3 linked regions of the Ovis aries genome follow. The protein of the gene in region 3 interacts with the protein of the main gene of each other region in a biochemical or structural test. Links are inferred from orthologs where the notes say so. Each region holds a gene or a part of one and is shown on either strand. Other genes may lie near its edges.

What was found.
Region 1: the proteins of STAM (region 3) and ARRB1 form a complex in vitro, tested with the Homo sapiens proteins (2 studies listed by BioGRID). The link is inferred for Ovis aries from reciprocal best matches to the Homo sapiens genes STAM and ARRB1.
Region 2: the proteins of STAM (region 3) and USP8 form a complex in vitro, tested with the Homo sapiens proteins (2 studies listed by BioGRID). The link is inferred for Ovis aries from reciprocal best matches to the Homo sapiens genes STAM and USP8.

What each region holds. Positions count from the first base shown.
Region 1 is NC_056068.1:53,219,086-53,222,736, forward strand, and holds part of ARRB1 (beta-arrestin-1), read right to left. Parts: intron 3,201-3,651; coding exon 3,004-3,200; intron 1,714-3,003; coding exon 1,654-1,713; intron 849-1,653; coding exon 781-848; intron 1-780. UniProt on the Homo sapiens protein: Functions in regulating agonist-mediated G-protein coupled receptor (GPCR) signaling by mediating both receptor desensitization and resensitization processes.
Region 2 is NC_056060.1:57,956,636-57,959,783, reverse strand, and holds the end of USP8 (ubiquitin carboxyl-terminal hydrolase 8), read left to right. Parts: intron 1-1,424; coding exon 1,425-1,557; intron 1,558-1,726; coding exon 1,727-1,912; 3' UTR 1,913-2,616; downstream 2,617-3,148. UniProt on the Homo sapiens protein: Hydrolase that can remove conjugated ubiquitin from proteins and therefore plays an important regulatory role at the level of protein turnover by preventing degradation. Converts both 'Lys-48' an 'Lys-63'-linked ubiquitin chains.
Region 3 is NC_056066.1:31,499,241-31,503,461, reverse strand, and holds the start of STAM (signal transducing adapter molecule 1), read right to left. Parts: upstream 2,952-4,221; 5' UTR 2,789-2,951; coding exon 2,749-2,788; intron 1-2,748. UniProt on the Homo sapiens protein: Involved in intracellular signal transduction mediated by cytokines and growth factors. Upon IL-2 and GM-CSL stimulation, it plays a role in signaling leading to DNA synthesis and MYC induction. May also play a role in T-cell development.

The sequences.
Region 1 (3,651 bases), on a different chromosome or scaffold from region 3:
ACCACCAGGTGGCAAACTCAGCCCACTCCCTACGAGGATGCTGCGTCCTCTGGAAGCCTGCAGCAGGACGCAGAGTTGGGGACCCTGGTCAGCCTTGCCAGGAGGCAAAGCAAAAACCCGACCCCGAGAGGGGCAGGTATGAGAGCAGGGTTGGGCAGCTCACCCTATAAATCAGGGCCAGCTATTTCTGGCTGCTAGCCTGGTCTGTCTGTCTGCCCAGGGCTGTGTCTCTCCAGGAAAATGCTTCCCTCTTTGAGACATGGCAGACCTCCTCTGTCTGCCCTGGGTGGGTTCACTTTCTCCACTTCCCTTCCCTTCCCTTCCATTGACACCCCTTACCCCACCCCCACAACCTCCTGCTGATGACCTCCCAGGAGAACTGGGAAATGGGGGTCCAAGCTGGCCGGGAAACATCTTGCTCACTGTTTAAAACAATCTGAATTTCAGATTTTTTTCCAAAACAAAATTAAAGGACATGCAGTCTGGAGAGGAAGAGATTAGAAGCAGGGCGATAAGGGAAGCGGGTACAGTGATGCAAAGGAAAAAGTGCTGAGGCCTGAGTCAGGGTAATGGAGCCACCTCCCCCAGGAAGCCCTCCCCACCTGCCAGCCTTCCCCAGTGCCCTTGGAGTTTCCAAGGCTGGAATGCAAGGCCCCTCCTCTCCCACTTCCAGGCATTGTTACTTCTGTCTTCCTCCAACTGAACCGTGCCTGTCCTGTCTCCCTCCCTCTGCCAGCAGGCAGCCCGCACCCACACGGATAGAAGCTGCACCCTCCTCACCGCTTGTGGATCTTCTCCTCCAGGTTCTCCGCACAGAAGGCTTTCACTTCGTAGTCCACACCGCAGGCCTGCAGGGGAGGGTCGCTGACCTCAGTGGAGAGGGCCGGCTCCACTGAGCATGGCCTACCCACCCTCTCATTTAAGAAGGCCGCTGGATGCGAATATCAGGTCCCCAGGCCTGATGCCCTCGTCTGAGTAGGAGCCCTGCACTCAGCCTGTGCGGAGCTGCCTCCCTCATCTGACCCTCCCACAGAGCAGCTCCCTGACCAGCTGGGCTCCAGAGTCCTGGCTGTCTGGGGGGCACTGTCCTCAATAAGGCAGTTGCCCAGAAATAACAACAAGCTTTCAGCAGCCCTATATAGGACCACCCCCACCCCCAACCATATAGACCCTGCCCTGGGCACCCCTTCAGCATCTTGCCCTACCCTTTGGACCAGATGATGAGGTACATCCCACCACATCCATTTCACAGATGAGGAAACAGGCTCCGAGCTCCGAGGCCTGGAACACTCGTGGGGTCACCTATGTCCGAGCCTCAGTTTCCCCACCTGTGAGACAGTGATGACTGCACCTCCACACAGGGTTTGTGAGGCCGGACGGTTTGCCAGAGAACATTCTGCAGCCAACACCGAGGCCAGCGAGAGTGACTTGGGAGAGGCCCTGGGCACATAACTGAGTGTAGGGGATGAGGGTGATGCCATTATGTGCCGCCCTGTCTGAAAAGACTGCTTATCTGAGGTGGGATCAGCCTAGCTTACACACAAGGAGGCTTCTATAGGGAGCATTCCAGCACCCTCCAGACAGAGAGAGAGCTGGGGACCTGGGGACACAGTGTCCTGAACCCAGAGAGATGCTCCCTCGGGGATGACCCACCTTCCCTGTATCTTCAGGTCCCGGCTGCAACGTCACAGAGCATGGGAGGTTCGGAGGGATCTGTTAAGAGGACAGAGACACCTGTCACATTCACCGCTGACCTCCCCATGCCTCCCACCCCCACACACATTCATCAGACCTGGGCCCCTAAGGACTGACCACGTCCCTTCCATCAGACTAGGCAATTCACAGGACAGACCATGTTTACCCCATCAGAACATGCTAAGCTATGCCTCATGTTACACTAGAGGCCCCTGCAATAAAGCCAAGGATTTCAGTGCATCGCAGCCCCCCCAGAACAAGAGCTGAAAAGGTCTTTCTACGATGTGCACTGTTGTAGGTAGAATAATGGCCCCCTGAAGATGTTCACATTCTAATCTCCAAAACCTGTGATAATGTTACCTAAAAGGGCAAAAGGGTCTTACAGTGTAATTTGGTGAAGCATCCTGAGATGGGGAGATTACCCTGGATTAGCCAGGTGGGCCCACCATAATCACAGTGTTTTAGCAGCGAAAGCAGCATCACAGTGATGGGATTCGAGAAAGACTGGACCGGCCATTGCTGGCTTTGAAGATGGAAAAGGGCTGGGTCAGGGGCCAAAGAATGTGAGCAGTTTCTAGCAGCAGGAAAAGGCAAGGAAGCAGTTTCTATCCCAGAGCTCCAGAGAGAATGCAGCCCTGCTGACACTTGATTTTAGCCCATGAAAGCTGTTTTTGACTTCCGACCTTCAGAACTGTAAAATAACACATTTGTATTCTAATTGGCAGGTTTAATTACTGCTAGGTTTGCAAGGGTTCATTACAGCAGCCATCATATGTCTATAACAGAGAGGATGGCTCCTTATCCTCTCTCCTCTGACTTGCACAGTCAGGGGATTTCACTGAATCACAGAATCAGAGTCTGAGAAACAGGAGGTCTGAAAATCCAGAATCCTGGAGTGGAAAGGCGGCTGCGCAGGGAAATCCAGTACTTGCCGTTCTTGTTTGGGAGTTGGGTTGAAGCAGGGTTAGTGGGCAGCCAGTATGAAGGAGGAGACAGCCTTGCAGTGACCCGGGGGCCAGAAAGGACTTCTTTCTCTGCAGCATCCCCCTCGACCCCTCCTTCTCCCACTGATGACCTGGACTTGGGAGGGTCTGGGTAGCAGTGCAGAGGTAAGGGTGACACCTCTGGCAGCGGCCAGAGAAGAGACACTTACCAGGCAGCATAAGTGCCAGTGCCCTGGCCCCAGGGTACACTGGGGAGACTGCATGGCCTGGAGCTGCTGCCCCAGCTGCCCCCGTGTGCCTGCCCAGAGGGCTTGCTAGAGGTGATGCTTCTGGAATGGGGCCCCAGGGGCTGGCAGTCCCTGACCTCAAAGGTGAAAGGGTAGGCATGCTCGCCCAGCTTCTTGATGAGGCGCTCCTGCAGCCGGGTCAGGGGCTTCTTGTCCTCCGGGGCCGGCGGGAAAGACTGCACGTTGGCCACAAACAGGTCCTTGCGAAAGGTCAAGCCCAGGACATCCAGGTCCTCCCGGCCGTAGCGGAAGGCGCAGGTCAGCGTCACATAGACTGTGGGAGCAAGGGGGTGCTGAGGAGGGGCCAAGAAGGGTAGCAAACATGCCCCCCACCCAGAGTGCCAGCTGCAGCCTGGGAACTGGCTCCCTTGCCAGTCTCTCGGAGGCACACATCTGTCCCAGAGCTCCTGCAGGGAGGGCAGTGCTGCCCTTGGGACAAGGGTGTCAGGTGCCTGGCCCAGGGAGGAGGCGAGGGCTGACTGCTGGATGGGTTCCTTCCTTCTCTATCCCCACTGCAGTCCACGGCGTGTGTGCAGAGGGCCTGACAGGGTCAATGGGGGCCTGGAAGAAGCACGCTGGGGAAGATTAGAGGGCAGGGAAACCAGTGCTAGGTGGTGTCTGGAAGGCCCAGTGTCTTGTTCCACCCAACCCCCATCTCCCGTCTTCCTGCTGACCTTAGACAACCCCTTGACTGCCTCAGGAATAAGTCTTCTCTTCTGTACAAT
Region 2 (3,148 bases), on a different chromosome or scaffold from region 3:
TGAAGAGGCTCATTCACTTTAGTGTTTGCAATAACGGCAAAATAACAGCACCACTTTTTCATGTAACTCTGTCTTTTAAAATCATTGAAACTGGGGCAGGAGGGATAGATTGGGAGTTTGAGATTGACAAACACTGCTGTATTTAAAACAGATAACCAACCTACTGTATAGCACAGGGACCGCTGTTCAGCATTCTATGATAATCTAAATGGGAGAAGAATTTGAAAAAGAATAGATAGAAGTATAACTGAATCACTTTGCTGTACACCTGAAACTAACACAACACTGTTAATCAATGATACTCCAATATAAAATAAAAAGTTTTTATAAATCAGTGAAACAAAATTATTTTCAAATTATTGGAGATTCTTAGGCAGTTATTTATGTTAATTTCAACACTGATATATTCAAATCTCTTGTGTAGATTTTCTACAAAAGCTTATTAGATCAGTTGTCCTTTTCTGCTTATTGCAGATTGCAAAGGTATACACATTCTACAAATGATTACACATTTGTTCTGTTAAGATTATTAGTGCTGTGTATTATTCTTGGAGAATATCTTAAAGTATAAATGGTTCAGAGTTCACTCTTTAACAAATAATTTTGAAATAACCATATTACACCAACCAGTATTTTGGTGTTTAAAGAAGCAGTGTGTGTTAGGATAATGGAATGCCATTATTTTAGTCACTAGGCTGTGTGCATGCAGTTTCTGGCTCTACTTTCTTCAAGTTCAGTTCAGTTGCTCAGTCGTGTCCAACTCTTTGCAACTCCATGAACCGCAGCATGCCAGGGCTCCCTGTCCATCACCAACTCCTGGAATTTACCCAAACTCATGTCCATTGAGTTGGTGATGCCATCCAACTATCTCATCCTCTGTCGTCCCCTTCTCCTCCTGCCCTCAATCTTTGCCAGCATCAGGGTCTTTTCAAATGAGTCAGCTCTTTGCATCAGGTGGCCAAAGTATTAGAGTTTCAGCTTCAACATCTGCCCATCCAGTGAACACCCAGAACTGATCTCATCTAGGACGGACTGGTTGGATCTCAAAGGACAAGCTTTAATCTGGAGCCACTCTTCTTCTGTTATTTCTCTGTACTTTGTGGTGATTAGCATTATAAACGGGGGTGTTAATAACTTCTTACCTTTGTCAAAGACTCACCTAATAGCTCTAGCTGGTCTAGGGATTAAGGGACCAAGGTATGGCTCTACCTCTACCACTCTGTTTACCTGGGGCAAGACATTTATGCACCTCAGTTTCATTAGACGAGTCCCTCCACTATTAAAATTCTGAGTGTGTGTTTGAAATAGCTTTTATGTCTAAACATAAAAACTGTCTAAAACTCTGGATTGTTGATGAATGAACTAGGGTGCATTTTGATGTCTTTGGTCTGTCAGTGTAACTGCTGTAATGTTTTGCTCTGCAGTTTTTCCTATGATGGCAGGTGGAAACAAAAATTACAGACATCTGTGGACTTTCCATTAGAAAATCTTGACTTGTCGCAGTATGTTATTGGCCCAAAGAACAATCTGAAGAAATACAACTTGTTTTCTGTTTCAGTAAGTATCTCATTGACCTAAATACTTTTTCTTTCGAAGCAAACTAAAAAAACAAGTTTCAGGTTGTTCCTTACCTCACAGGAAAGTAGGAACTACATTAAGGCTTTGAAATTATTGACATATTTTAAATAATTCAATTTGAATTGATTTTCTATCTTGTTTGGTACAGAATCACTACGGTGGGCTGGATGGTGGCCACTACACTGCCTATTGTAAAAATGCAGCAAGACAGCGGTGGTTTAAATTTGACGATCATGAGGTTTCTGATATTTCCATTTCTTCGGTGAAATCTTCAGCAGCTTATATCCTCTTTTATACGTCACTGGGACCACGAATAACTGATGTAGCCACATAAGGAGAAGTAGGTTTTAAGCTAGTTATCTTTTAACAGGCTGAGCAACACAACTCTTGAATTGCTTATAAAGATTCTGGATAGGCATAGCTGACCATTTAAAGGACTTGTAGGACAATGAGAGCTGTGTTACTATATCATATACTTCTGGTCAGCGCCATTATCAAAAAACTGACCAAGAACATTTAACAAGTATTGCAGTAAGCATTCCTTACAGGTACCATTTATTTCAAAACAAGTTTTTTAGTTTGCTCCAAAGTTAAAATAATTAACTAGCTAAGCATTATTATTCTGCTGGTCTAAAAATCATTGTATCCTTTATTTTCCTATTCACTGTTATGGCCTTTTCACATTTCTAAATCCCAGCTTGATCTAATGAATACTCTAGAATGATGTAAAGCAGATAGGAATGTATGTGTATATATTTATTGCACACTTGCACATCAAATCAATGTACATAGTATAATATGTGGTCCTTTTGTGAAGCCTAGAACTCAGAGGATTGCTCCCCCCCGTCCCCTTTTGGCCTATTCTGAGTAACTGCAGTGCTTTCTTAGGGACATGACAGGGCAAAGCTATTTTTCTGTTGGCTTTGGGCTGTATTTGTGCACTAAATCTTTATTCTAAAAAAATAAATGGAAACTTTTCTTTAATTTTTTAAATGAGAATTTTCATTTACACCTACATTAAAATCTTAATGAGAAAAATAATTTAAAACCCTGTAAGTGTTCTGTCTTTAATTTTACACTGTTGAACAGGACAGCAGAATTATAATTTTTCCACACAGTTTATCCCAATACAGTGACTTAAAATTTAGTACACTTATTCTGTTGCATTACTTGATTCCACTCTTCCTTCACCTTGACCATGAACTGCATATAGCACTTATGATTCTCTCAAGAGTTGAAAGTCAAAGTAGGATATAAAACCTTAACACCCAGGCAGACTTATTCTATCACGAGTAGTAGAATTCTTAGGATTAAGGTAAAAAGATGACAGCAAAGTGAACTGCATTATACACCACATCTTTACAAATTAATGTATTAAAAGGGATAGAGGAGCATAGAATTTATCATTTACCTCAGGGACTCGGTTGTTACAGGTAAAGTCAATATAAACACTCCATATAAAAACAAGATTATAAAGGTGCTCCTGAAAGATGTCACCATTAGTGGATTCCCAAGAAGAGGATGAAAGAAAATCGGTTTGAATTGTGAAATGGACGACTTTTCATGTTCT
Region 3 (4,221 bases):
TTATCTTCAGTATTTTACTTCTTTATGTAAAATGTTACGTGGTAAAATTCAGTAAATTTCTGCTTTATGGTTTCAGTTTACCAGTTTATTGATGACTAAAGCTAACGACAATTAATTTTGAAGTGGTAAAAATATATGCTAATGTTAAGTGATAAATATATCAAGTGAGTTAGTGAGAGTATATCACTGATATGCTCACTGATGGATAAAGTGAGAAGAAATAGTTATATGTATTATACATACTATATTCTGCATGCTATTCTAGCAAAAGTATTTTAAATGGGAGTCTACTGGACTCTGTCCAAGGATGATTTACTGGGAGTCTCTGGCAAGTCTTCTTAGATAACCTTTCATGATATTTTGATACATGGATCATGGGGAAAGAATTGATGCAAACATTAAAACCTAGCTTTTCAAAGGTATAATTTTCTGGGACTTCCCTGGTGGTCCAGTGGTTAGAATTCTGCTTCCACTGCCAAAGGCACAGGTTTGACAGAGAATTAAGACTCTGCCAGTCACCAGCCAGAGCAACCAAAAACAAACAAGCAAGCAAAAAAGTAAGCTTTTCTGGAACAAAACAATGCTCCTGTACTCAAGAAGCTTACCCTAGCAAGTTCAACTGATACATTCTCAATTCAACAAACTTTAATTATGCATCTCCTCTGTAGCAACAAGTAAGAGTTAAGGAGCATAACGCAAGATACGACTACCTTTAATACGAAATAATTTAGTAAAGACAAAAAGTATTGCAGGAGGTCTGAAAAGAGTGGCAACAGTGGGATAGAACAATGTTTCTCTACTGGAAACTATTTTGTGCCCTCAGGGGACATTTAGCTGTGTCTGGAGATGTTTTAAATCATAGCTGTGGGTTGGGTGGGGAGAGGTCAGGGATGCTACTAAACACCCTACATTGAAAAGGACAGATACCCATGACAAAGACATTTACCTGGTCCAAACCATTTGTAGTGTCACCTATGGAAACTCCAGGTTAGGGTAATCAGGATATGATTCAGGTATGAGCTGGATGCTGAGTTGGCCTTTAATCATTAGGAGGTGCAGAAAGGTAGAAGAAACAATACAAGCAAAAGTGTAAAAGCAAGATGGAGCCTGTGTCTGAATGGGGTGGTGCAGGTACTGGGAAAGGATTTGACATTAAGAATCCAATGGAAATGCGGGTTCAAAGGGCAATGGGATATAAAGATGACTGGGTAGGTGGAAGCTCGGTTACATACAACCATGAAAACTAGATCAAGGTGATGGAAACAGAAGGAGCAGGTATTAAGAAACTGCTTTAACCATTTGCCCTGGAAATTAATGTAGTAAGTTATAAAACTGCTCGAGAGCAGCGACCACGTCTCTTATTCATCACTATCTTACGTCACTGAGCAGTGTCCTATAAACAGTGTGTGCTAAGTACTCATTAAGTTAAATGTTACTTCCCAATTATTTATTTATTAAATACTCCTAGTGACCTCTAAAGCTCCATCCACTGCTAAGATGCAGGACATTCATTTAAAATGTCCCAAAAAAGTTATCATTGAGTTGATGCCTACTATCTAAAGGCACTGCAGGAGATACATGTTATTTCACTGAACCACAAACAGGATGTATTTTCCCTCTCTTTAAAGATGAGGACACCAAGACTCAAAGAACTTAAGTAACCTGCCCATGATTTCCCTCTGAGCTAGGGAGTGGCAGGGACAGGACTGAAACCTTTTCTAATCTTAACCTAAACCCTCAAGCTTCAGTGGCAGGCTATAAATTGGGAATTAAAAAGCAAATTCAAACCTTTCATAATTAACTATGTAAACACAGAAATAGCAATTCCATAAGATCATCCTTATTTTTCTTGACTATAACAATTAGACATGGTATTTAACCTGCTTTCATTTCACACCTGTGCGCCAAGGTAGTTACTAAGTGTATTCAAATCACCCCAAAATTCTCTCAGGGAAAACTCAAACTCCTGTCATTATTACCCTCAGCCCAGGAAAACACACACACACACAGCTAACCTGTTGAATTGATATGATCAGTACTTAAAACCTGTGATTCACAAAACAATCACAAAAAAAGAGTATTTCAAATTCAGAACAAATTAGCATTTTCAGATCCCAGGTCCTATTCTACACTTAAAAGTACTGAGACCTACACTAGGAAGGCATCCCAGCGACTCAGGTCCTCAAGCGTGTTTATATTGTTGTCAAGTATTCCATCTTCATCTCTCTCCCAGTATCTTTAAGAGTCTACCCTTAACCAAAGCTCTCTCCTTCCTCTCCCTCGCACAGTTATAAAACAGATTTTAAAGTCCTCTAAGGAAGCTAACCTAAAACATTATCCCAGTTCCCAACGTTTGACATGTGCCTGAGAAACCCTTTATCACACAGCTTATCATCCTACGCCAGCTGGGACTCCCTAGCTCTCGATTCTGTCCTCCCAGGAGCAATGTCCCAGCACCAGATGCCACACCAGCTGTTCCTCCGCGGCCTTCGACACCCACCTTTCCAGTTCTTTAGGAACCCACAGCCCTAGCTCCAGGCCTATTTCCCAGACTCTCTCAGTCTCCCCCCTTTTTTTGTCTTCAAGAAGATGCGACAAGCCCCCAACCTCCTCCAAACCCTTACAGAAAGAGCCTCAGGAAACAAGCAGGGTTCCGCCCAGCCCGGGGGTCCAGACGGTCCGCCGGGAGCGGGCCGAGCGGGCTCGCGGTCCGCCAGGGGGTGGACAGGGGGCGGCAGAAGCACTTACCGACATCCTGATCGAAGGGATTGGTGGCAAACAGAGGCATCTCCACTGCGTGCAGAGGTGTCCGCAGGGACTCCCCCTCGACACCACAGGAGTCAGGGTGCGACCTAGGAAGGAAGTCTCCTCGGGCAAAAACAGTGGCCGAGACGGACTCTCCGGGCCCGCGACAACCCCAGCTCTCCCCGACCCGCAGCAACCGCGGCAGCGGCGGCGGCGGCGGCAAGAGCGGAGGAGCCGCGAAGGCCCCGGACGCGGAGCCTGTCGGGAATCTGGGTGCCCTGGGCTTCGCCTGTCCAGAACCTGCCCCGAACTTGCCCCGCAGAAACCGGCCCAACCCCAGAGCCCCCTCCGCCCGGACCCCCTTTGACTGGCCCCACGGAACAGTGGCAGGGATGCCTGCCTTTCCGGACTTGGCCTTGGTCCTAAGCCTCCGGAGGACTGGGTCCTCCAGGCGCGCCGAAGACGACTAACGAGCTCAAGCGTGAATCAGAGGTTGAGCAGAAAGAAACGGGGTCGCGTCTGGGTAGAGAGAAACCCTCTTTCCCCCGTGCTCCGATGGTGGTCACAAGTTTGTGGTCCCTAGGGCGGAGGATGGAAACTCCTTTCCTCATCTAAGTAAAAGGGGTTATGAGTTCAGGTCGCTGCCCGCGGTGACAGGAAGCTTCCTCTGGTAAAGTCATGTGAGCGGGCGGCTTGGCCCGAATCCCGAAGAGGGGAGTGTCAGGCGCGCGGCTCCTCGCGGAGGCTGGGGCGGCGCTGGCACCTTCCAGCGAGTCCCCGAAGGCCTGCCTGGAAGCTCTGTCGAAACCTCTTCTGGCTGGGCGTTGGCAGCTACTAGCTGTGTGATCCGCAGGCTGTTAACAGTGATTGGCAGTTGACCAAAAAGGTCTGCGATAGACAACCTCCCCCCAAAAAAGCCGAGCAAAAAAAAAAAAAAGGGCTGAAAAATGGATCTAAAGTTTGATCGGTGGTTAGTAATAACTTAAACTACTTAGTAATTTTATTTATAAGTTTTCTTAACAATAACAAAAACTGTTCTCTGTATCCTGTAGAAATTCTAAGGAGCATCTTCTAGATTTGTGCATCCCACTTAAGAGGAACTTGGAGCATCTTGCATGTAAATTTACCAAAATTTACCATAACTGCTGACTGCAGGATGTAAATATTTAGAACATGTCAACAAGATGAGTGTTGTGATAGACGAAGAGTGCTTAGAAAAAAATCCATCTTGAGGTCCCGTTTTTAAAAGTGAGAAATGCAGATTAAAGTAGCGTTTAGATACGTTTTTGTCAGACAAAGATGAAAAAGAACCAGGGATGTGGGGAATCGTACACTCATTGTTAAATGAAATAATTACTCTCCCAGTAGAAATATTTGAAAGTGTGTAACACAAGGTTTTAAACTGTGAATACCTCTGGACCCAACAACTTTTTGAAATTTACCCTAAAGACTTGCTTTAACAACATGAACAAAGTT